Arabidopsis thaliana: one gene and its partners. The protein of the gene in region 2 interacts with the protein of the main gene of each other region in a biochemical or structural test. Each region holds a gene or a part of one and is shown on either strand. Other genes may lie near its edges. The genes, in order: AT4G01200, PPDK and AT3G21210.

Region 1 (5,667 bases), 8.4 Mb from region 2:
GTAAAGCCCAAATAGAAATGGCTTTGTTTTGTTTAGTATAAAAGTTGTTAGGTTAAGGATAATAAGATATTAAATATGTTGTAATGTTGTAACAGAAGAATTATTTAGAGATTAAGGAGAAAAACGTTGAACTGGCTAAACCTAATCTCTAAGAGATCTAAAGAGAGTAACAATGTAGACATACAAGACTAATCTCTGTAAGTGTTCTAAATGCTGCTTTGTGATTAACAAAACAAAGTAAACAGAGATATATATGTTCCAACTGAAAGTTTTAATTAAAGGGTTGACTTGGTTTGATTGGTTTTTTCTTTTGTGTTGAACCAAGAACAATGTTGGGTTTTTTTTATTTTGGGTTTTGTCTTTTTCTGTATTTTATATTTTTGATATATGTGTATTAATAGTTCATGTTTTTCTCTACATTTTGTTGATCGATCAACAATGAAGTCAGAAAAGAGAGGATTTTTTGGACAACAAACACCAACACCAACTTGGGTCGTAAGAAGTGTACCTCTTAACACTCTAATAATTCCACTTGGAAATCAAAAATAACAAACAACTCAATATTTCGAAGAGAGATCATCGTCGTGAGGTAGGAAGATGTTGGAGACAAAGTCTTGGAATCTAGAAGAGTAGATCTTAGGATGGACGGTTGAGATTGAGTTTGAGTTATATTGAATGGATTTGTAACAATGTTCTATGCGTTTCTTCATACCATAGTCTTGAAATGTGTCTACTATCCCTATATACAAAACAACATTGTACCATTCTTCTTCTCCGGTTTCTCTCGTCACTCGCCGTGCCCTCGCTGGAATCTTCATCCCAAAATTGATATTTGAGCTGAAACAAGAAAAGTTAGATATATATATATATTTTTTTTGATGTGAAATTTCTAGCAATGTTGTTATATAGGAGTAGGATAATGCTTTACCTATTGTGAAAGAGGTCACTGAGTGTTGTGGCTAATATATTTGTTTCTGAGCTTGCGCTATTGCTTGTCACTGATTGTATAGTCATTGACATTTCGTTTTCGACTGAATCTGTTAGTAAGACAATAAGTTTATAAAAATTGTAATTTTTGTTAAGTACTATGATTAATTAGATTAAAAAGTTACATTGTTACCTCTATCGGGAGAGCATGAATACATTGCTACAGAAGATCTATCAGGAGAACTAGAAGCCGTCTTCATCGACTTTGTGCTATTGCTTTTGAACGAGCCTGAAAAATTTAATCGGTAGACATTTATGTTGAAGACTTGGTATATAAGAACATAAAACAAAAGAATGAAGAATGTTGGTAAGGATTTTTTACTTGGAGGTGCGAAGCTACCGTAAACCGGGTTCAATCCATCAAGTGAACCTGTTAAGAGTGATTTATTATTATGATCAGAAAAGTTCAAAGTCGATATGCAAATAGTTGCACTCCTAAGAAGAGAGAAGAAACATTACCTTGACATGAGCCTTTAGATTGTAAACCAACCAATAAGCTATAATCCATTATACCTTCTTCTTCCAAAAGCTCGCAATCTAGCTTTGTTTGCCTGTAATGAGATGACCCCTTTTGTGTTTAATAAATTGTTGAGTAACTAGAATCAAGATGGTAGAAAGAAAGAGGGGTGGGGGTGGGATAGTACTTGATGATGCGTTGTCTCGCCAAAGGATCAACGTAGAAACAGAAATCGAAATCGATGTCCTTCAAAACAGTGGTGTTTCTCACTTCAATTTTCTTGTTAGATCGACCTTTCGGAGAACCTTTAAGATCATAGAGCTTGTTCACAAAGATCGTTGAATGTAGCATGTTTGACATCACAGCAAAATATGTCTGTATCCCCAAAAAAGTAACTAATTAGTGGCTGATCAAACTCTAATAATGGAGTGGTATATATATATAATCCTTGTCACCTTAACACCTCCAAGAGGCTTCACAGAATGAGCACCAAAAATCCTTGTGAATAGTGATGATCTGTGATAATTAATATGTCTGTAGTAACGTGGAAGCATCTCTAGTGTCACCTTCACAAGATTGTTTTCAATGAAAGACTCAATATGGAACATATATACACACTTGAAAAAATTAAAAGTAGATTGTGTTAAGATGATTTTGGGGTACCTTAATTTCGGATTTTCGAAGAATCTTGATGAGAAAACGGTTATCATTGGAAATATGAAAGACATTTCCAATTTTCCCAGAAGAAATCTTCTTGAGAGTCTCATCAGTGCAAATGGATAGCAAGTAATCATCATGATCTATACCCTCAAGTTCTTGAATAAGTCTACAAACAACAACAAAAAAAACATTACAAAAACCAATTCTCTTCTTTTTTTTACCTTAAAACATGAAACTATGTTATTACGTACGTACCCGAAACCAACGGGACAGTAATCCTTCCAATCAAACTCAGTGATTGAGCCAGGTGGCAAGTGTTTAATGTGTTTTGTAGAGTATCGAATTCGATTCTCCACCGTGGCTCTCAGCTCCATGGCTGTTATCAATCTCGTAAACTTTGCCATAATTTAAACCCTAAATAGATCATAGCAAAATCATAAATTTATGAACTTAATAAAAAACCTTAAAACTAAAAATTTGATTGCTCTACGTATATGAAGATTTACCTGTTTTCGTACAAGCTGCAATTTCTGATAAAGAGGAAGGCACAAACAGAGAAGATGAAGAAGACAAGAGAGAGTGATTGATTTTTTTATAAAAGATGATGATTTTGTTATTTCTGGTAGGACGTAATTAGTGGTTTTAACTAATCCAGCCGTTAAACTAACAATTATCTCCTCAAAACTTCATAAACGACTTCCCGCGTTTTTTTTTTTTTCACTTTTTACATAATTTTTACTACACTTTTTTTCTGTGATCTACGAATTATTACTATTTCATATCAAAAAGATTTTTTAATTGTTCAAAAACGAAACAACAATTATTGAATATAATGTTTTGAGCAACTAGAACTAAAGAAATTCCAAACTGTTTGTTAACTAACACTCATAACCGCCAAAACTGCCTAAACGACGACGTAAGGGATAAGGAGACCTGAACCGTTGACAGAGATGCACGTGACGAAGATCGATGGTTTAGAAAACCAAAGGAACATCTGAACCGTTGGAAATTCAAGACAACAGATCTCAGCCGTCCGTCATTTTTCTTCTTGGTGGTAACATGCCCGACGATTTCATCAAGAAACAGCACATCAATCCTCCGCCGTCCGATGACGATCGCACGTGATTCTTTCCCGCCAAATTTCGAACAGCGTTCCAGTCTCTGAGAGGAGACGGCATCGGAGAAGACGCCGTCGAGTCAGTACCGTCGTCGGAGAAATTAACCGATCCGCAAACCGAATTCTCTTTCGAACTCTCACCGTCGTCAGCGGAACCGTTCTCCGACGAACTAACCGCAGATCTAGACTTTCTCATTTTCCGACTCCGACGGATCTCTTGAACCGACTTGAAGAAATCAGCTGGAAGTTCAGAAGCATCCATCACCATAGCCGCGATGTTAAGAACGCCGTGAAACTTTCCAGAAGGACGACGGATCTGAAGCGCGACGAGAGATGGAACTTTCACGGCGGCGGTTGGGAGGAAGTTACTCACGAGGAAGCGAACAGTTCCGATCAGATGATCTCGCAAGTAACCAACGGCGTAGATCTCGATTGAAACACCAGAAGTTTCGCTAGATAGAAACTCCGGCGATACCTGGAAAACGAATTTGTCGTTCCAGATCGGATTCTCAGAGCCGATCCGATCAATTCGAGTCCGGAGTTTGCTGGAAGAATCAACCCAGACGGATGCGTAAGTCTGCAATCGCCGGAGCTTTCCCGTCGGTTCTTTAAGTCCTTGCGCAGAGATGAGATTGATCTCAAGAACTTGCGTCTCCTCCATCTTCTCTCTTTCTTTGTTGTTCACAGTGAAGCTCCACCGCCGGAGAATTTAAGCCGTCGGTTAAATCGAAGAGAGGTGAGAAGAGAGAGGGAGAGTGAATGAATGAGACTTGAGACCTTTTATACAGTAATCTTTCCAAAAACAATGAATGAAACAAATTAGTGACCTAACAAAAAAAGAAGCAATTTTAATTTGTTTTCTTTTATGCGTCTACTACATTTAACAAAGTGGAATTTCCGGTAACAGTTTCGTTCTCAGGCGGTGGTTTTACATATTTTCCGATCACTTTCTGACGACCACTTCTACTTCTCATTCTACTCAGCTTATCTCGACTCTTCTTCTTCTTCTCCTCTTTCTCTAAATTCTTCTTTTGCTTCTCTTTCTCTAATGTACCGCGCCACACGATCTCGCCAGTCCATGGCCATAGCCAGTGACCCACACGACGGTCTGAGTCGGCTTCTTCAGCTAGATCTTCGTCCATTGTTTTCAGAGTTGTGTAATCGAACCACTTCACCCACATTTTCCCTCGCCGGTTCTTCTGTTTGTGTTGCTCTTGCATCAAACCAGTCTCAGGATCTATGTAGACAATGCGTCTTGCACTGTGGTAAGCCCATACGTTCACCAGAAGCTCTAGTACCCGCGAATAGCAATGCTTGTCCTGTGAGAAATTGAACACATAAATCCAAACCCAAGTGGACTGATCTGATTTAGATCTAAAAACACATGAACTTTCGCAGATGAAGGAATGAGTTTCTTACTTTGGTTAAACTCAGATAGCAACGGTTTGTTCGATGATGCTCTTCATATATCTGTGCATCTAGTGAATCCACAAACATCCTACAAACAGATGGGAAAACACACTCTTAAGCACTCTTCTTTCTCCAAAGAGGCTAAGACTGAGACAATCAATGGGTAATGTGGTAAACAAGTACCTTGAGAACATGACAAACTCTAAGAAGGATCTTGTTGGCAATGCCCAGCTCTGCATCACAGACCATGTATCCCCATCCTCGGGCATTGGTGGCAATGAGTCCAAGTTCTTGATACTGTACATTTTCTTCAAAGTTTCGTTGTAAGCAAACCTTGATCCAAGCCCATAAATTGCAAAGAGTCAGGTAAATGACCAAAGTCTCAAACATTATTATAAAATTATGATTTAAAATCTCTAGTGTTTCTACCTGCAATTCCCAGCATTTATGGCATCACAGAACGACCAAAAGGGTTTCTGCAGAGGATTTCTGGGATCTTTGTCCATGCGAACCCAAAAATATAAGGCATCTCCGTGTTTTCGTGTTTGTATAGCATTAAGTAATGCGTCTTCAGCAATCTTGGATAAAGATTCCTGTTTCAAAGTCCCACATTACATCACAGGGTAATTTTAGCATTCTACTATACAAAGGATGAAGGATTTTATAAGAAAAAGTTGTTTACCTTCCTGGCAGTCGCTCTCCAGGACTGAAACCCAATCCATGAATTCTTGTGTAACCGATCAATCTTGTTTGAGATTGCAAAAAAAGCTCCAAAGTCACCAAGAGCATCGCGATAGTACGGATTGTTGAAAAGCGGAAGACGTGATGATGCATCGACATCATCCATCCTAGGTCTACGTCCTTTAACTGACTGCAATATGATACATTCAAATCAGTTGAGAACAATTTCTCTCCTTTGGACCATCTTATGGTTGCAAAAACACTATATTGCACATGGAAACTCACCAGGCCAACCCCACGATAGAGGGGATCTTGATGTAGAAACGACCAGGTTCCTTCACCAAAATAGGGTTCA
Region 2 (10,039 bases):
AGTTACTTATCTCAAAGTTAATTGACTTCTCGAGCTTTCTTATGTAATCCTCTCCCTATGCGATTCTAACTCTTTTTATTTTGTCTGGAGACTATTGCCCATTTAATCTTTTTGGCTTCAATGATTGTTGGTCTCTGCCATTAGCTAAATGGTAATTATAAGCATTCAAGATTTGAACAAATTGTTACTAAAGGACCAAGTTTTGGGCTTCTGTAGGGATCAGGATTATCTGCGAAGGAATACGAAATATGCGACTTCTTTGTATATATTCCTCAGTATGGCTGTGGCACTGCCTCTTTGAATGTTACTGTTGCAGCTTCTATTGTTTTGCATCACTTTGGAGGTATTTTTTTCTGTTTTTGTTCCCATTTTTTATATGCTGTTTAAGATTTGAAAACACTTAGATGGAAAGCAAGATTGTAGAGAATAATAACTCGGCACGAATTCTTAGTCATGTATAGACATTAAAGATAGATTGATAGTGTTGGTTGCTTAAGAATAGTATTGTTCTATTACAGTTTGGGCTGGATTTTCTGAACGTGTTCGGGATGGAAGCAAATTTATAGTGGCTGATAGACCCGTAAGACAAGGAAGACGAAATTTCTGCGCCGGCACAGAAGAATCCGTCATTGAAGAGCGGAAGTTGAGGAAAGAAAGTGCAGAAAATGGGTTTTTCGATGACAATGGAAATGAAAATGGAAGTTCATCATCCGACCTTTTGGACGGTTTGTTCCTTAACGAATAATTATCTTTTATAAAAGAACAAAGTCTTGATTTGGGTTCCAATCCTGGGAAACACATCCTTCAATATATATTATCAAGCAAGTTAGCTTACTCACGCTTGTTCATTCCCTAGTTACCGAATCTTTGTTTCGCAAGTTGAGAAAGCTTATGAATTAGGCTAAGTTGATTTTGATTATTTGATCTGCCTTTGGTATGATACTATGATTATGAACATGTTTGAAAATGATTCAGTTGATAGAATCTCATTACGCTGTCTTACATTGTCTTCCTCATGTATTCTGTTTAGAAACAATGGTTTTTATTTTATTAGCAATTCAATTATTACATGAAGGCTTTATATTCTACATTCTTTAGAAGGAAACAAAAATAGTTAAATCCAATATCTTTGATTTTGTTCATTTTTATGGAATAGAAACCAAAGCTTTTTTATTCACAGAATAACACCACCAAGTTTTTTCTTCATCATGCAACAACTACTTGAGCAGCTGCAAGCCTTGCAATTGGAACCCTGCAACAACAACAACAACAACAACAACAACAGAAATCCCAAAATTACATCAATCTGAGTTATACAATAGTGTTGTAAAAAAAGTGTTTATTGGTTTGGAAATTAATCAATTACCTGAAAGGAGAACAAGAGACATAGTCAAGTCCTGCTTCAGCAAAGAATCCCACAGAAGATGGATCTCCTCCATGTTCTCCACATATCCCAACCTTGAGGCTAGGCCTAGCTGCTCGTCCTTTTTCTGTCGCCATCTTGATCAATTGCCCTACACCTTGCTGATCAAGAACCTGGTCCAAACACAAAAAAATGGCTATCAAGATTTTATCCTATGGATAGAGAGCAAACGAAATGGTAGTCATTATACCTCAAAAGGGTCGTGCTGTAAGATTCCTTTGGCGAGGTAAATCGGTAGAAACTTGCCGACATCGTCTCTACTGTATCCAAACGTCATCTGCGTCAAGTCGTTTGTCCCGAACGAGAAAAACTCCGCCTCTTTCGCAATCTGTCAAAAGAAAAAGGTTCCTACTTAGCAAATAGCAACATGGTTTCAAGTGCCTAAAACACATTTTGTGTCTTGTTACATTTACCTCATCTGCAATGAGCGCGGCTCGAGGGATCTCAATCATTGTCCCAACCTTGTAGCTCACGGTATGACCCTTCTCAGCAAATACTTTCTTTGCAACTTTACGAATTACATCAACTTGGTGACCCAATTCCTGAGGAGTTCCTACAAGTGGAACCATAATCTCAGGAATGACAGTAACACCTTGGTCCTGCATTGACGCTGCAGCTTCAAAAATTGCACGCGCTTGCATCTCCGTTAGCTCTGGATACGATATTCCGAGCCTATAACGTACAAGTTTACCGATCATCAGATTGTTCTTCAGGTGCAAAGAGACAGAGAGAAACAAAGAGAGTAAGAAACCTGCAACCGCGGAAACCAAGCATTGGATTCACTTCAGAGAGTTTCTCTATCCGTGACAAGACTTCATCTTCTTTCACACCAGTTTCTTCAGCTAGCTCATGTACAATGTTGTCCAAGTCGCCTTCCGGGAGAAACTCGTGAAGCGGAGGGTCTAACAAACGGATTGTTACCGGTAAACCTAGAAAAATAAAAAGGTTTAGGCATGTTTTAAGTTGTGATACATTTTAGAGAGACGACTCAAAACATTTACCATCCATAGCACGGAAGATCCCTTCGAAATCCGAACGTTGGTAAGGAAGCAAGATGTCGAGAGAAGCTTTCCTTTGCTCTGTTGTTACCGCCATTATCATCTTTCTCACTGCTTTAATCCTATCTGCTCCAAAGAACTTAAAAACCAAACCAAAGACAACATTAAACATTTGGATACAAACAATCTAAATCATCAAAAACATGAAATCAAGTACAGAGGAGGAGTTACCATATGCTCTGTCCTACAAAGCCCGATTCCTTGAGCTCCGTTTTTCCTAGCTGCAATGGCGTCTTCAGGTGTATCCGCATTCGCCATAACCTTATCGGTCATCGAACATTTGAGTTAGAAAGTTTAAAAATATCAAACAAGTTAAAGGAACAGAAACTCATAAACACCTTGAGACGTCTGATTGCATCAGCCCAGGACATGAAAGTCTCCAAATCTGGACTTAAAGCCGGAGGAGCCAATGCTTGTTTCCCTAATATAACCTCACCGGTTGATCCGTTCATTGAGATCCATTCGCCTTCATTAATCGTCAAATCTCCAATCAATAGAACCTGAAAATTTTTAAACCCTAACTTTAGAAACAATCTTCCCCTAACTTATATGACAAGTTTCTAAAATCGAATCCAAAAACCTTGTGGTTCTCGTCGACACGAATCTCGGAACAACCAGCAATGCAACATTTTCCCCAACCGCGAGCAACAACAGCCGCGTGTGACGTCATTCCTCCTCTAGCCGTCAATATACCTTCCGCTGCGTGCATACCTCCCACATCGTCAGGGCTTGTCTCAGTTCGAACCAGAATCACAGTTTTACCCTGAGAATGCCAAGCTTCGGCTTCCTCCGCCGTGAACACAACCTGTCCAACCGCCGCTCCTGGTGACGCAGGTAAGCCTTTGGCCACCACTTTTTCACGATACCCCGATGGATCATGAAACTAATCCATCAATAAAAAAAAAAAAAAAAAACCTTCATTGACCTCTGAATCAAAATTTCCAAACCCTATTCATCGGTTACGTGTCAGACAATCATCTCTGCTTTTACTCCTAAACCCTAAACGTCTTAAACCCATTAGTTCTTGTTCAAGTGAACCAATCATTACCAGTAAGTTTCGAATTTTGGTTTCAACATCAAGTTTATGACTATGAAAAAAGAAGAAGATGAATATTTGAGTTTGTACCTGTGGGTGAAGTAGTTGATCAAGATGTTGAGGCTCCACCATTTTGATAGCAGAAGATTTCTCAACAAGCCCTTCACCTACCATATCAACTGCTATCTTCACGGCGCCTTTACCCGTTCGCTTACCCGCTCTGCATTGCAGCATCCACAATCTCTCTTCTTGTACTGTGAATTCAATATCCTGCAATACACATTTGAGATTTTGTTTAAATTACTAAAGAATTGTTGATGAGGACTAATTGAAGTATTGTTTATGTGTATCAACCATCATGTCTTTGTAATGTCTTTCTAAGATGTTGCAGTTCTCAACAAGTTCAGCGTAAGCCTCAGGCATAAATCTCTTCATTGTATCCAAATCTTCTGGTGTTCTTATCCCTGCAACCACATCCTCTCCCTGTCCCAAAACCAATATTTAATGAGTATGGGCTTACTTGTTGATATGAGATTCACACATTGTGATAGATGCCAAACCTGAGCATTAACTAGAAACTCGCCATAAAGCTTCTTCTCTCCTGTGCTAGGGTTCCTAGTGAAGAGAACACCAGTCCCTGAAGTGTCCCCCATGTTTCCAAACACCATACACTGAATGTTAACCGCGGTTCCTTTCAATCCAGTTATCTGGTTAATACTTCTGTACTTGTTCGCTCTCGGGCTATCCCAAGAATCGAATACCGCTTCAATCGCTAGCTCCAATTGCTTCTTTGGATCTGCAATTAACCCCGTTTAAACATTTGTAACTAATAACTAATTTTTATCACTTGACCTCAAGTAGGAATCAAAACAAACCTGAAGGAAACTCTTGACCCTTGGCCTCTAAGTAAACACTCTTGTACTGCTCAACCAATTCCTTGAGATCAGCCGCGCTTAAGTCAGTGTCATTTTTAACTCCTTTCCTCTCCTTCATTCTCTCTAACTTCTCTTCAAACTTGGCGTGTGGAATTCCCATCACCTTTTATTGATCAAGAAAACAATTATAAGGTAGGTCAAAGAATTTTCTTGTCATGCAAGTTACCTGAAATAGTATTGAAAAACAGAGGACTTACAACATCACCAAACATATCAAGAAAACGCCGGAACGAATCGTAAGCAAAACGCTCTCCGCTTTTTGCGGCCAGACCAACGACGACTTGGTCGTTCAAGCCAAGGTTAAGTACAGTGTCCATCATACCAGGCATTGAGATCTACAATGCAAAATATCGATCAAAGACAAGTCAATGTAGTTCTGTTTTAAAAATAGATAAACGAAAGATCTTCATTTTCTACGTTATAGTTTGAATACCAAAATCATTAGGTCTTTCAATAGCCACAAAACTTATTCATTTTCTATCTAGTACATTTTAAACTCTTCCAAAAACGGCCAAATGGCAAAATAACCAAAAAAATATTTGGATCTCAACTTCAATAAAAGAAATCTAACAAGTCAAAATCTGCGTCAAAAAATCTTCAAAAGATTAAAGAAAACATAGAAAGAAAAAAAAACAGAAATTTAACATTAGAAAAAATCCTTAAAATAAAAATAGTCAAGAAAAAAAGTTATAATTAACTTACGGCGGCGCCGGAGCGAACAGAGAGGAGGAGTGGCTTGGAGGGATCAGCGAGGGAAGCTCCAATGTCACGTTCGATGAAGCTAAGACCTTCTAAGATCTCTTCCCATAAACCTTCTGGAAGCTTTTTGCCGGCGATCTGATACTGCTGACAAGCCTCCGTCGATATGGTTAGCCCCGGCGGCACCGACAAGCCTATGCTAGCCATCTCCGCCAGGTTGGCTCCTTTCCCTCCCAACTTCATACACAACAACAATTAACATTTTTGATAAATGGTTCTTGAAAATAGCAAACACTAAATTATTAATGAATTGATATGATCATGATGATGGTATTGGTAACATACCAAGGACTTCATGCCCTTGTTGCCTTCGCTTCTTCCTTTTCCAAAGGTGAATACTCGCTGCATCATGGTTTTTTGTTTGTTTGTTTTGATTGAGGTTTAGATTGCAGAAATGTTTGTGCAAGTTTAAGAACACATATACGTATCTATATATATAGTAAAGCAAAAATTGGATAAAATAGATTCTGTCTAAAGCACAAAGATAAATTGATCAAATTTATCCATCCTAAATTTGACATGTCCATTATGTAAAAGCTAAATATAATGTTTATAATTTAAGCTAAAAATAAAATAAAATAAAAAATAATTATTATTATGATCATATGTACATCGAATAATTTTATAATATAAAAACTTGTATACAGTCGAAATTTCATATTTAATATAAATCATTTATAGTTTTGATGGATACGTCATCAAAAATACATTATTATCTTATCAAGAGATCATTCCAAAATTCCAACCTCGAAATGCTAAATTGTAATATAATTGACCAAAATTAAAGAAGTTTCGTTGCGATGACTCGTCATAGATGTGTCAACCATATCTGATCTCACTCACACACTTGCTATCTGCCACTACCGATGCTATTTTCCTTTTTAACAAAACTTTTACTTAACCAAAACAATAGCAAACAAATGTCATCAAATTCAACCAGTTCTTGTCATACCATCTCTAATACATGAATTCTTTATGGTGAAGGTGAATTGTGGATTTAAACTAGTATCATAATTTTTGTGTTTTACGCCAAGAATTTGATTGCCGTTTGGACATATTCACGTATTCTTTGGCACAATAACAAAACGTGGCATTGGTGGATCTACCAAGTGGCACAAGAGTCTGACTTAAGCAGCAAAGTGGTCTTTGAATACATTAAAGTTGTTTCTACGAAAAGTAGGGCTAATGAATCTAGAGGAAAAGTTTTTTTTTATTACAAATTTCGAAAATACTTGAATTTAAATAAGTTCATGTTTCCACAATAATTTAATTCAAAATAGTACTTTCATAATTTAGGCCAGACGCTATTTGGTATTACTACCGAAATGATCTCACATCACATGTGTGTATTAGTTTGAACCGTTCGATTGTTTAAACAAGAGTAACGAAACCAATCAACATCAAATAATTAATCGTCTCACAAGATCACAAAGCAAATGTCACAATGGCGTAACCTGTTTTGTATTCTATAACCGGTAGGGTTATAACCGATAATAATTGAGCTGCTAGATGGTTCGACCCAATGATCGGTGATAGTTTCTCTCAAGAATCTCACGTCAGAATCATAAAACAAAACGTAATAAAAAAGTGTATAAAATTTTATGGTGAAAATACACCAGAATGATTGAAATGGAAAGGCTTACCTTTTGGGCTATGGAAGCGGCCGGATCGGACACAGGGCTAAGTATGGCTCGAGCCTTCGTCTCACGATGCAAACCGGTCTTTGCTATGCTTAACCGTTGGCAATGGATTGTACCGGTTCTAGGGAAACGGTTTGATCCATCACCTAGCCGGTTTGATCGACTAACCATTCGGTTTTCTCCGAGATGATCCGTACGGAACACTCCATTTCCTTTGAAGAGCTCCGGCGTTGTCTTCACGATCATACTTGTCATTTTCTTTCTTATATAAAGCATAAACCACTTAAATAAATATAATATACTTACTTTTAAGAGTTGTATATAAAAATAAAGAAGTTGAGAGAAAGGAGTGTATAAAATAAAAATATATATAGCTTACGTGATATGGAAATTGGTGTTTGATGGTTAGCTATTTGCGAGAGTAGAAATGGCGGTTCTATAAATTTCTTCTCTGATCCTAATTTATTTGATTTTTGTTGGTTCTTATTAGTTACGTAGACTTTATGTGATCTATTTTTTTATTTATATTTTATGTATTTTTGGAGGTTTATAGATTTTGGTTTGACGAGTGACGTGAGTGGATGAAAGATAGATGTGGTTATGATTGGCTAATGTGTCCATTCCACGGTTGTTCTTTTTCCTTTGAACGACCATATAAGTGGCTACCATTAAAATTGATCTCTAGAAGTTGTTAGGTTTTGAATAAGAATCAGTTTCCAAAATTATGAGGTCATATGTATATAGTTTTATTTTCAAATAGTAAAAAACTTTTTCTTAAGTTCAACTCCATCTTATTGGTAAAATGATGTTGCTTGGTTTGTTTTCCACATGTTAAGATATTAAGGAAATAAAGGAGATTGATGGAGTAGGAACCTAAAAGTATTTGTGGTTCTGCTCGGTGTGAATATGACTAGCCAGGTTCCAGGAGAGGGATGTGGTATACAATTTAACTATATATTTACAAAAATTTGTTTGTATACTGTTGCATACATTTTTATATATCATTTTGTTAAGTTATTAAAAGAATGTTGAAGAGAAAAAAGAAGAAGATAATGAATGCATTTTTTCTTAATCTATTGATTAAGTTTATAATATTAACTTAGCGATACATGCTTATAATAATTTATACAATTACATCTAAACTGTTAAGACTTTTGGGGGGGGGGGGTAAATCATACTAAAGTTTAATTGGGGCTTAATTAGTTTAAAATGGTTTAAAAAATTCAATCGCTCATTTGATTACTAATCGGACAAAGGAATTCACGAAGCAAGCATGAATATTATATAACTTGAGACCATTTTTTCAAAAATTTGTAACATTTATGGAAATGCACGCATGGCAGTAAAAAAAAAAGCATTCAAAGAATGAAAAGAGAGGGCTTAGAACTTCCGAAGAATCTGGAAGTGTCATATACATTGATGCTCGAGTTAACTAAGGGACCCAAATGTTATGGGAGTGTGTGGCTATGTGCCATGCTCTGTTGAACTTTCTGGTGATGTTTTTGGTTAGAGTATAACTATTAGATAACTCCAAAGACTCATAAATTGTGGCAATTACGTGGAAGATGTGAGCCAACGCTTGCGTGCCAGACTGCCGGTCCAATGTTTTGCAATACCATCATTTAGGTGATGATAATTGATAAATGATAATTAGGTGAGATAACCATCATTTGATCAAATATATGATAAAATGAAGTGAATGACTATTAAATTTAATGGAAGAAAATATATTTTTAATAATTAAGTCTTTTTCAGTGTTTTTCTAAAAATTGGTATATCTTCAAAGTATTTGTTTTTTCAAATTTTTACAACCAATGGTTCAATTTTCTTACAAATTATTTAAAACATATATAAATATTTATATTTGCATATGTTTTTTTGACATTTTTAGAGATTAATATTTCAGGATATTTTTGACCCACTCAATTCAATTATCTTAGAAAGTTAAACGAGTGTTTTTTTTATCACTGTTTAATGTTTATACAGAAAAGGTTTTTTCTAATTAAAATAAATTATTAGTCCATCTGTTCTCCATTATGTAACATGATTAAGAAGTAATTTTTTCTCATTCATTAGATTTTTTTGTTTCCAAGTTTCTATGCTTTATTTAATTCAATTTGATGTTTTATGATTCCTAATATTCTGCATTATTTTTTCTTATTGGTTGAATTATTTCTAGTTGATATAAATGATTTTCTTAATGAAATATATATAACTATGTAATTCTTAAATGTTGTGCTTTCAAGTAGAAAATCTCATATTAAAATTGAGGAACTTTTAGATTTTTGGGGATAATGTAGACGTTTTGTGTATATTTTTTTGAACCATTTTTATTATTTTAATGGAAAAAAAAAACACAGATTTCAAACACTCGAGAGTCAAGAGTCTCAGACCCACCCAGCTTCTGGTTTCGTTTCGCCGTCGCGCACGGCTGAACATATCTGCTATATCGGAGATTAGTGAAGGTTAATGCTAATATATTGGATGATACTGAAAATCGAAGCTTTAGTCTAATTTTTGTACTCCAATTGCTTCAGGTTAGTTACTATTGATTAAAGGTTTCATAATTTGGGGCTAATCTCTCTGCAAGGTGACGAGAAAATCCACTATCCCCTTCCCAAGATTTGTTCTCTGAAGATATAAAGTCTCAATCTTTGGATAAGAAAGTTCAAATGGAAAATTGGAAACTTTTCTTCAGTTGAATGAATGATTTAGCTGAAGAAACCAAAGCTAGAATGGGGCAAAGTTCATTGTCATGGGGTCCCTAGAATATTCGAATCTATGATCCTTTTGGTGTAAAGTATTAGTCAAGTTGAGAGATATTTTTTACATTTTGTGGTCACTAATCATGTATTGGAGTTGATTGCTTCTAAACTCACTTTAACTTGTGAGAGAGTTTCTAAGATATCAAATAATCTATCATGAGAGAAGAGACAGTTTCTTGGAAGTACTTTAAAAGAGATGTTGTTCCGTTCACTGCGATGATCGCTATAGAGTGTACAACGGTTGGATCCAGCATACTGTATAAAGCTGCTACCTTGAGAGGATTTAGCTTTTATGTCTTTGTGTTTTACGCTTATGTTGGTGCTACACTTGTCCTTCTTCTACTTTCACTTATCTTTGGAAGGTACTTGATCTTCTCGAAGCAACTATGACTCTTGCTAAGTTTTAAAGAATATGAAACTTAC
Region 3 (7,280 bases), on a different chromosome or scaffold from region 2:
TGGATCTAGACTTTGTGGTTAGTATTATTCAACATGCTATGCAACTACTTCAAAGAATGTTCAATCTAAGATAACATGTTCAGTCGATTACCAATCTCAAGACCAAAACTACTACTAATGCCAGGTTTCAGAAACAAAGATGATATGGATGGATAGGCTTGGATTCGACCTTCGGGTATGGTCTCCACGAGGTGTATATGATGTGAGGATTCCATTTCCAATGGAAGTAACAGATGAAAAGGGAGCAAAATCATCCTTCAATGGAATGTCACAGCTCGCTTGGGAAGTAGAGAAAAGCTATTGCCCTGCAGATTTCAACAAGGTCAAACTACTTAAGCAAGTTGTGGGATCATCTCATTCTCACAAGGGAGGAGGACAATAACAATACTAATGACTTTTTTTTGCTTGTCCCCATTATTCTTTATTTACAAGTTGATGCCAAAATTGTGCATTGGCTCTCGTGGAATAGTATATGTTTACTTGAAGTAATGTTTGTCATCTTTTTTTATATATAAGTTCATATATATATGCCCCAAATAAACATTAGTTATGAGAAGGAAGCAAAGAGAAAGAGAAAGCAAATAGATACATAGAAAAGAGCAACATATCTCTATGTTCAGCAAAAGAGACAAGAACAAGTAATAACGTAATCAAGGAAATTTTCATTTTAGCTTTCTACTATTTCAAACCAACGTCTTAAGCAAGCTGTCCATAACTCTATTACCGACAACGATCTAGTATGTTCATAACTCTATTGCCATAATCGTTTCGTTTGGACTATGTGTCTCTGTCCACCCAACTCTTCGTCAGACAACAAAACAAAGAACATAAAAATGTTGATCTGTCACGTGCTTTGAAGATTATTTTTCCTTGACAACGATTATGGCAACGTTGGCATATGTTGCGAGTGAGACGATTATTGGGAAGAATATCAACATTTACGTTACGGGAAATGAGCCCTCCAATAGGCATCATATACATCTCCTTTCCAAGAAGACATTCAACATGCAGTGTGACGTTACAATCATTGCACATATAAACTCCATTCTTCGGATTTGCTTGTTTTTCACAAACTTCACACAAATGCGGACCACTTTCTTGTGAACCACTGAAGTCTTCATCATAAGAAAATATGAGAAAATGTTCATCATGCTTATACCTCAACTTATTGGGTAAAGTGGCGCACCCAAAACACAAAGCAAAACGACATTCTCCACAGTTTAGACGATGACCTATGAGTTGTCCGCAAATCGAACAGAACTCTTGCGCTGTGGATTCATGTATTAAATAAATAGGATGCGGATGAAACCGATGAATCAATGACTCAGCTATAGAAGCGCAAGATACGTCTAATGTGAAGTTGCAATCCCTAGCACAACATGTGTACGCAAAACCATTGCTTTCACGCTTACAAGCAGTGCATTGAAAATAATCTTCATGTTCCTCATCCACCAGTAGAAGAAGGGGATGAGGATGTGTCGCATGTTGTTTCCTCGGAGGAAGATGTGCACATGTTTGATGGAGGATAAAATCACATTGCATGCAACTGTAAATAAGATCATCACAGATAGGAAACGTGCATGCTCGACAACGTTTATCCTCGTCAAATGCTCTGTTGGTATCCTCGTCCAGTCTCATATGATGACTTTTGTGACGAAAATATTCTATAATTCCATCACTTATCTCATTGAACGACTTAAAAATATATAGAGATTCATCTTCTTCTGGTTCTCCCTCAAGTTCTTTTCCGTCCCATACATCTTTTCGCGTTGCACATTTAGAATGAACCGCGAAACTGCAACCCTTTACGCAAGAATATCTTGCAAAATTTGTGTCTATGCTTTCACGACACACTCCACATAACCATTGTTCAGGAGTAAGTGAAGAATTGAAGGAGAGACGATGTTCATGACGTGATATTTTTATGATGCATGGAAAATAGACACACTCTTTATGGACTACAAAATTACACTTGACACAGGAATACAGCAAAGACCTGCCATCACTCAACCCACAAACGTCACAAATCAAGGAGCCTTTCCTTTGAAAGTAGAAGAGTGTATGCTCATGCCTTTTTGGATAGTCTATTGCAAAGAGTGGTGGCTCTCTAGCACAATCTTGACACATGGTAAAATTGCATATAGAGCAATGGTAAGCAAAATCCTTAAAAGTTGAACAAGATAAGCATATCTGACCTGATTCATAACGAAATCGGAGAGCATGTTTAGGATGATATGGGTGCTTTGATATCGGCTCGATACAGGCTTCGTGGTAGTAGCCTGAAGAGCGTGATAATACTGAAGATTGAAGAGGGGAACATGAAGGACGGAGACATAACGTGCAGGAATAAAACGTGGTACCGAGTAATGACTTGGAGCATATTTCACATTGTTTGTTAGGTCTATGGCCTTTAATGAAGCCCTTGCCATGTCTGTCGTAGTAGTATTTGCGTGTTATGTTAAAGTCGTTGCCCAAAACTAAGGAGGTGAGGTGAAAAGATGGAGATGAAAGATTTGGTGGCTCTCGGAATTGCATCGCGCGAAAATCTTCTTCATTGTTAGTAAAATATGCACGAGGGCAAAAGAGAAGAGGCTGCTTTGACACCGAATCCATGGCTAAGACGGAAAAAAAAAAAAAAAAAGGAGGACATGAAATTTTTTATGATGGATAGATAGAGTGCTTTGCAAGTAAATATGAAAACCACAAGGAAAGAAACCTTTGATGTGTTGATGATGAACAGAAGCAGTCAGAGCAGTCTTAGCCTTATCTATCTCTTCGTCATCATCCGTACGTGATTTGAAAGTTACAATAGGCGCTGCCCGAGTACCTTCAACACTGCCAGGACCATCAGGGTATCTAACCACAACGACTTGACAAACACAGTGGTGAACACAGAAATCACTAACAGAGCCATCACCAAATCCCATAATCAGAGCAGTGAGATTGAGCCGTTGAGTCTCAAGACAAAGCCTCTCTCTCTTATCGTAATCTTTGACTGTATGAATCGTGTGAGGGAATCCAGCTTCCTTCAATGGCTTCCCGAGATCCGCTACTTTGGAGAAAATAGAAGCGGTGGTGTAAGGAGGTTGAGTTTGGAGAGGGTAATATCCCCAATCGGCTCCAAAGAGACCGGCGGTTGGAGAGACGTGTAGAATAATGATGTCGTCTCCCTGACGGATGTAGTTATCAACAGCCCAACGAACAGTGAAGGCACTTTCTTCAGAGAGCTCCACGGCGATTCCAATCTTACGTTGACGAGGAGATGAAGGATGATCGGATTCTGGATTCATCATTTCTTCTTCTTGCTTCCACAAACTTCCGATTTTTTTCTTAGGGTTTTTAAATTATGTGTTATGCAGCATTGCTAATTATGGGATAATGAGGTTTATATTTATGGGTTTTGTGCAAATGTTTCTTTGCTTGTAAAAAATTATACTTTGGTTAATGCGTTTGTTATCCCTTGCATTTTTGTCAGGTTTCCTTAGCTTCTCGACAAGGAAAATGCTACATCGTTTTCTTTTAAAAAAAGCAAAATAGTAGTCTCTGTCTTGCTTGATGAGAAAATAAACAAACAATTTGTCTTTGACATGCACGTTGAAAGTTTTCCTCTAAAAACACGTAAACGTATTTGGGCCTAATTCAGAAAGGCCTAAAATGGGCTGAGAACGAGTATGGGGACGGCGTATATCCGTCTCAAAGAACCATTCAAAGCTGAAACAATCAATCGCGACAAGGTTCACTTCTCCCTCTCCAAAATGGTCCGATGGAAAGCCTCAGAAACCAGGCACGTTACTCACGATTCTCCTCCCTCTCCGTGCGTTTGTTCCACCAATTTGATCGACATCTCTACCTTTTGCTTGATGATCTTTACTTGAACAACTTGAAGAGGGGTTTCAATCTTTTACCTCTCAGTTCCGTTTTATATTTTTTTTCTTCTTTTTATTAACCTCCCAACTCTTTATCTTGTTTTTCTTGACAGTTCTGCGCTCAGACACACCTGACGTTTAAGAATTTTCTTTTAAGACCATGGTTTTGTGGTTTTAGATGTTTTGCTTCTCTGGAAAGTTGGTCTAAGGAATGCACAAACCCTTTTGTGCAACAAATCTTTTTCTTTGTTGTCTACAGTGATGAAAGCTTGAGACTCGCCAATCATAATAATGAAAACATGTTTCTTACTTGAGAGTTGAGACACTCCTTTATCGATTCTTCTTGGGTTGTCTCTTGGGTTAATTATATTACCTACCTCTCTTTACAGCAAATTTACCATGGTTCGAATTCAGAGAAACAAAACATGAAACTAGGCCCTAGAGATCCTATACCTCAAAATCTGATAAGTAAGCGACCAATTATACACACATTGTTCTTGAAAATGGAAGAGAAACTTTCTCATTTGAAGAATCACTAAATTCGCTTCTGGTTTTCACATCCAGAGTCAAGTAGCCCAAAGCCGTACAGAAACATCAGTTAGAAAAGAGATAAGTTGGATTGGATAAGTAGACTCCATTGTAAAAAGATAGGCTCTTAGGAACTCCTGGCTCTGTTCCTGGACGTCCGAAGATGACCTTACCTCAACTTTGTAGGTGAAACGCATCTCTATTCGAGAGCTTGGGCTTTCTCTTTACGGATTGTCCCTGCATAAGGCCAAGCCAGAGCTGGGAATGTATATATGTTTGCTCAACTATAATAAACCTACAATGTAATGGAATGCCTATCTTCAAATGTTATATCAGCTGTCAACTTCTGACAAAACGGATGTGCTTGTTCATCAGCCTAAGTAAGAACAGAGAATGATCGACATGGGAAATGCTGAAGAATGAAACCGATGTGATAGATCATGAGAGTAATATTCCATGTCTATGCAGTGAAACGAAGTTGATCAAACCCCTCTGGATGTTATCATGTTATGATCTAATGTAATGGTATATCAGCTAACATAGCAAATGGAGTTTCGTTAGGATGAATCAATCATGAGAGCAACATTCCGTGTCCATGCAGTGAAACGAAGTTGATGGAAGGCCTCCGGATGTTATCATGTTATGATCTAATGTAATGTTATGTTTTTTCCTAGCTAACGTTTCATTAGGATGAATCGATCAGAATGATGAAAATGAATCCCACAAAGTGATGTATTAAAGCCGCAATAAGATAAACAAATAGCAAACCAAACTCCTATATAATTCAAACAATCATCAAAAACCACACTGCGAATGCATGTAGCAGAGCTAATAGAAACTGAAACATGTTATATGTTGATGAGGTCACACTATATGCACCCAACACATGACAAAGCAATGCTGATGCTTAAAAATGTCGAGAATGGAAATGGATGAAATGCAGACTGCCTGGAAGATGCATCGTATTCGTGCAGTTGTTGGGAGATAAGGAAGAGAGTACGTCCCCCTTCAAGGCCTACTGATATGTCAGGGCTCCTTGGGCTCCATTAGCACTCGGAGAAGGAAAGAAAGAATAGCCGCCACCTTCCTTTCTCTTCCCATATGGATTCTTTGAATATGTATCATTGGGTTAAGAAGAATCAAACAGAAAAGAAAAAAGAACTTGGCATACTGGAATATTAAATAATCAGAAAGAGTAAAAGTATATAAGGATATTGGATCCTCATGCCAATTGAACCAGAACTTGGAATGACAGCACCTTGCAAATTATGGTGAACATTTGTGGCACTATTGACATCCTGCAAGTCCAGATAGAAGAATTTAACAATATGCTAGAAGAATATTTTCTGTCACATATACACAGATGGTGAAGGTCTCAGAGTTAACCTCGAATTCAATAAAGCAAACTGTATGCCTTTCTTGTCTCAGAATCTTCATTTGTTTGAAACCAGGTTGCCTGCAAAATGAAAGTACAGTTTACCGCAGAATTCTTGAGAACACAGGTCTACAAAAAGGCCAAGATCTCAAGGAAAGCAATGGACAGGAGTCTCACTAAAGGGAACAGATACTCACGCACTCAACAGGCTCCTCAATTCTTCTTCGTTTATATTCTCCCCAAGATTACCAATAAATAGGGTATTGCAAGGTGGATTATCCTTAATATTCTGCAATTGAAAAAAATTTGAAAACAACATGAGACATATATCAGATCACCAAACCTAGGCTAGATATTCATCAAACTAGGTACAAAATTTATCAAACAATCAGAAACTTTAGCAAATTCAGAGCAGTAGACAATGCATTTAAATTAGGCAACAACTATTGTTCCACAACACAACCACCAGAGAGTATAGCATGTAAGCTAATTAGAATGAAGTTCGAGATTGTAATTTTTAGGCAAGGAGAGGCAAGTACAATATGGATTCCGGGTATATAATTGCACAACCACCATATGATAAATAAAATGATGAAAACAGTGCAACTTCACCTGGACAGGCACATAAGAACTAGGAGCTGCTATAGGTGGGGGCGTAGGCATTGGTACAGGGGGAGCATGATAACCTGCATAGGGATCATATGGTGGAGGTGCAGGTGCCATATATCTGAACCAATTTATCTTCTTGTCAAATAAGCAACTTAACATAAAACGGTGTACCAAATACACATCGTCCAATTTCTACACAGCATATGAAATATGAAGGAGAAGCAAATGCCTAACCCATGAGGAGGTCCCCACACAGGAGGAGGTGGAGGATGGAAAGGAGATGGACTATACACAGAGTGTGTGCAGTCACCACCAGTTCGTAGGCGCTTACTTTGATCATAAGCATTTGAATCCCCAACAATACCTACAGAATAAAGATTGAGTTCAAAGGTTATATATGGTTTGTGATATTAACAAAGGAAGTAAGAAACTAGATAAAGGGGAGAGTGTAGTGAGACCCCGTATAAATGCACAAAACTGTATCAAACATGCTTCAGTAACATGACTAATGCTTAAGATAGATAAAATACAGCCATTTTATGTCATAAAGGTAGAGCTAACCTCTTTTAACAAAAAGATTCTTCTTGGCCATCTCTGTATGTATCACAGACTTTGACTCAGCATCAAACACCATATGCTGCATGCCAAGAACAACATATGTCATAATGTGAAGACAAAAAAGGATCTGAGTCAACAATGATCAGAAGCAGACAGACCTGAAGGGTATCTTTGGCTGCCATTGCAAACTGAGCTGTGGAGAAAAGAGCAAACCCCATGGGCTTTTCTCCCTTGAAGTTCACCTGAGAAGCCTCGTAACCAGGCAACCATCTCAAGAGATTCAAAAGCTCTCTCTCTTTTACATCATCGGGAAGCCCTGCGATGAAGATTGTCCGCAGCTGAAC

The links.
Region 1: of the proteins of PPDK (region 2) and AT4G01200, one has a biochemical effect on the other in vitro, tested with the Arabidopsis thaliana proteins (one study listed by BioGRID).
Region 3: of the proteins of PPDK (region 2) and AT3G21210, one has a biochemical effect on the other in vitro, tested with the Arabidopsis thaliana proteins (one study listed by BioGRID).

What each region holds. Positions count from the first base shown.
Region 1 is NC_003075.7:503,654-509,320, forward strand, and holds AT4G01200 (Calcium-dependent lipid-binding (CaLB domain) family protein), read right to left. Parts: upstream 3,974-5,667; 5' UTR 3,883-3,973; coding exon 3,130-3,882; 3' UTR 2,858-3,129; downstream 1-2,857. Other genes in the region: PIPK10 (phosphatidylinositol phosphate kinase 10), read right to left, coding at 558-837, 929-1,037, 1,121-1,216, 1,310-1,357, 1,447-1,538, 1,632-1,819, 1,900-2,010, 2,108-2,270 and 1 more; AT4G01210 (glycosyl transferase family 1 protein), read right to left, coding at 4,085-4,540, 4,641-4,719, 4,815-4,964, 5,061-5,224, 5,314-5,502, 5,598-5,667.
Region 2 is NC_003075.7:8,863,622-8,873,660, forward strand, and holds PPDK (pyruvate orthophosphate dikinase), read right to left. Parts: upstream 7,251-10,039; 5' UTR 7,128-7,250; coding exon 6,855-7,127; exon of another isoform or gene 6,666-6,854; intron 5,699-6,665; exon of another isoform or gene 5,563-5,698; coding exon of another isoform or gene 5,554-5,562; coding exon 5,497-5,553; intron 5,389-5,496; coding exon 5,155-5,388; intron 4,788-5,154; coding exon 4,650-4,787; intron 4,556-4,649; coding exon 4,393-4,555; intron 4,314-4,392; coding exon 4,078-4,313; intron 4,001-4,077; coding exon 3,872-4,000; intron 3,788-3,871; coding exon 3,608-3,787; intron 3,365-3,607; coding exon 3,062-3,364; intron 2,982-3,061; coding exon 2,820-2,981; intron 2,743-2,819; coding exon 2,653-2,742; intron 2,561-2,652; coding exon 2,425-2,560; intron 2,353-2,424; coding exon 2,175-2,352; intron 2,096-2,174; coding exon 1,837-2,095; intron 1,752-1,836; coding exon 1,614-1,751; intron 1,537-1,613; coding exon 1,367-1,536; intron 1,253-1,366; coding exon 1,207-1,252; downstream 1-1,206. Other genes in the region: AT4G15520 (tRNA/rRNA methyltransferase (SpoU) family protein), read left to right, coding at 217-343, 519-745; UMAMIT38 (EamA-like transporter family), read left to right, coding at 9,773-9,978. UniProt on the Arabidopsis thaliana protein: Formation of phosphoenolpyruvate. May be involved in regulating the flux of carbon into starch and fatty acids of seeds and in the remobilization of nitrogen reserves in senescing leaves.
Region 3 is NC_003074.8:7,437,464-7,444,743, forward strand, and holds AT3G21210 (zinc ion binding protein), read right to left. Parts: upstream 3,364-7,280; 5' UTR 3,294-3,363; coding exon 2,717-3,293; intron 2,616-2,716; coding exon 778-2,615; 3' UTR 501-777; downstream 1-500. Other genes in the region: PGR7 (proton gradient regulation 7), read left to right, coding at 1-17, 125-382; AT3G21215 (RNA-binding (RRM/RBD/RNP motifs) family protein), read right to left, coding at 5,410-5,512, 5,610-5,692, 5,781-5,850, 5,967-6,058, 6,382-6,496, 6,613-6,742, 6,940-7,015, 7,095-7,274.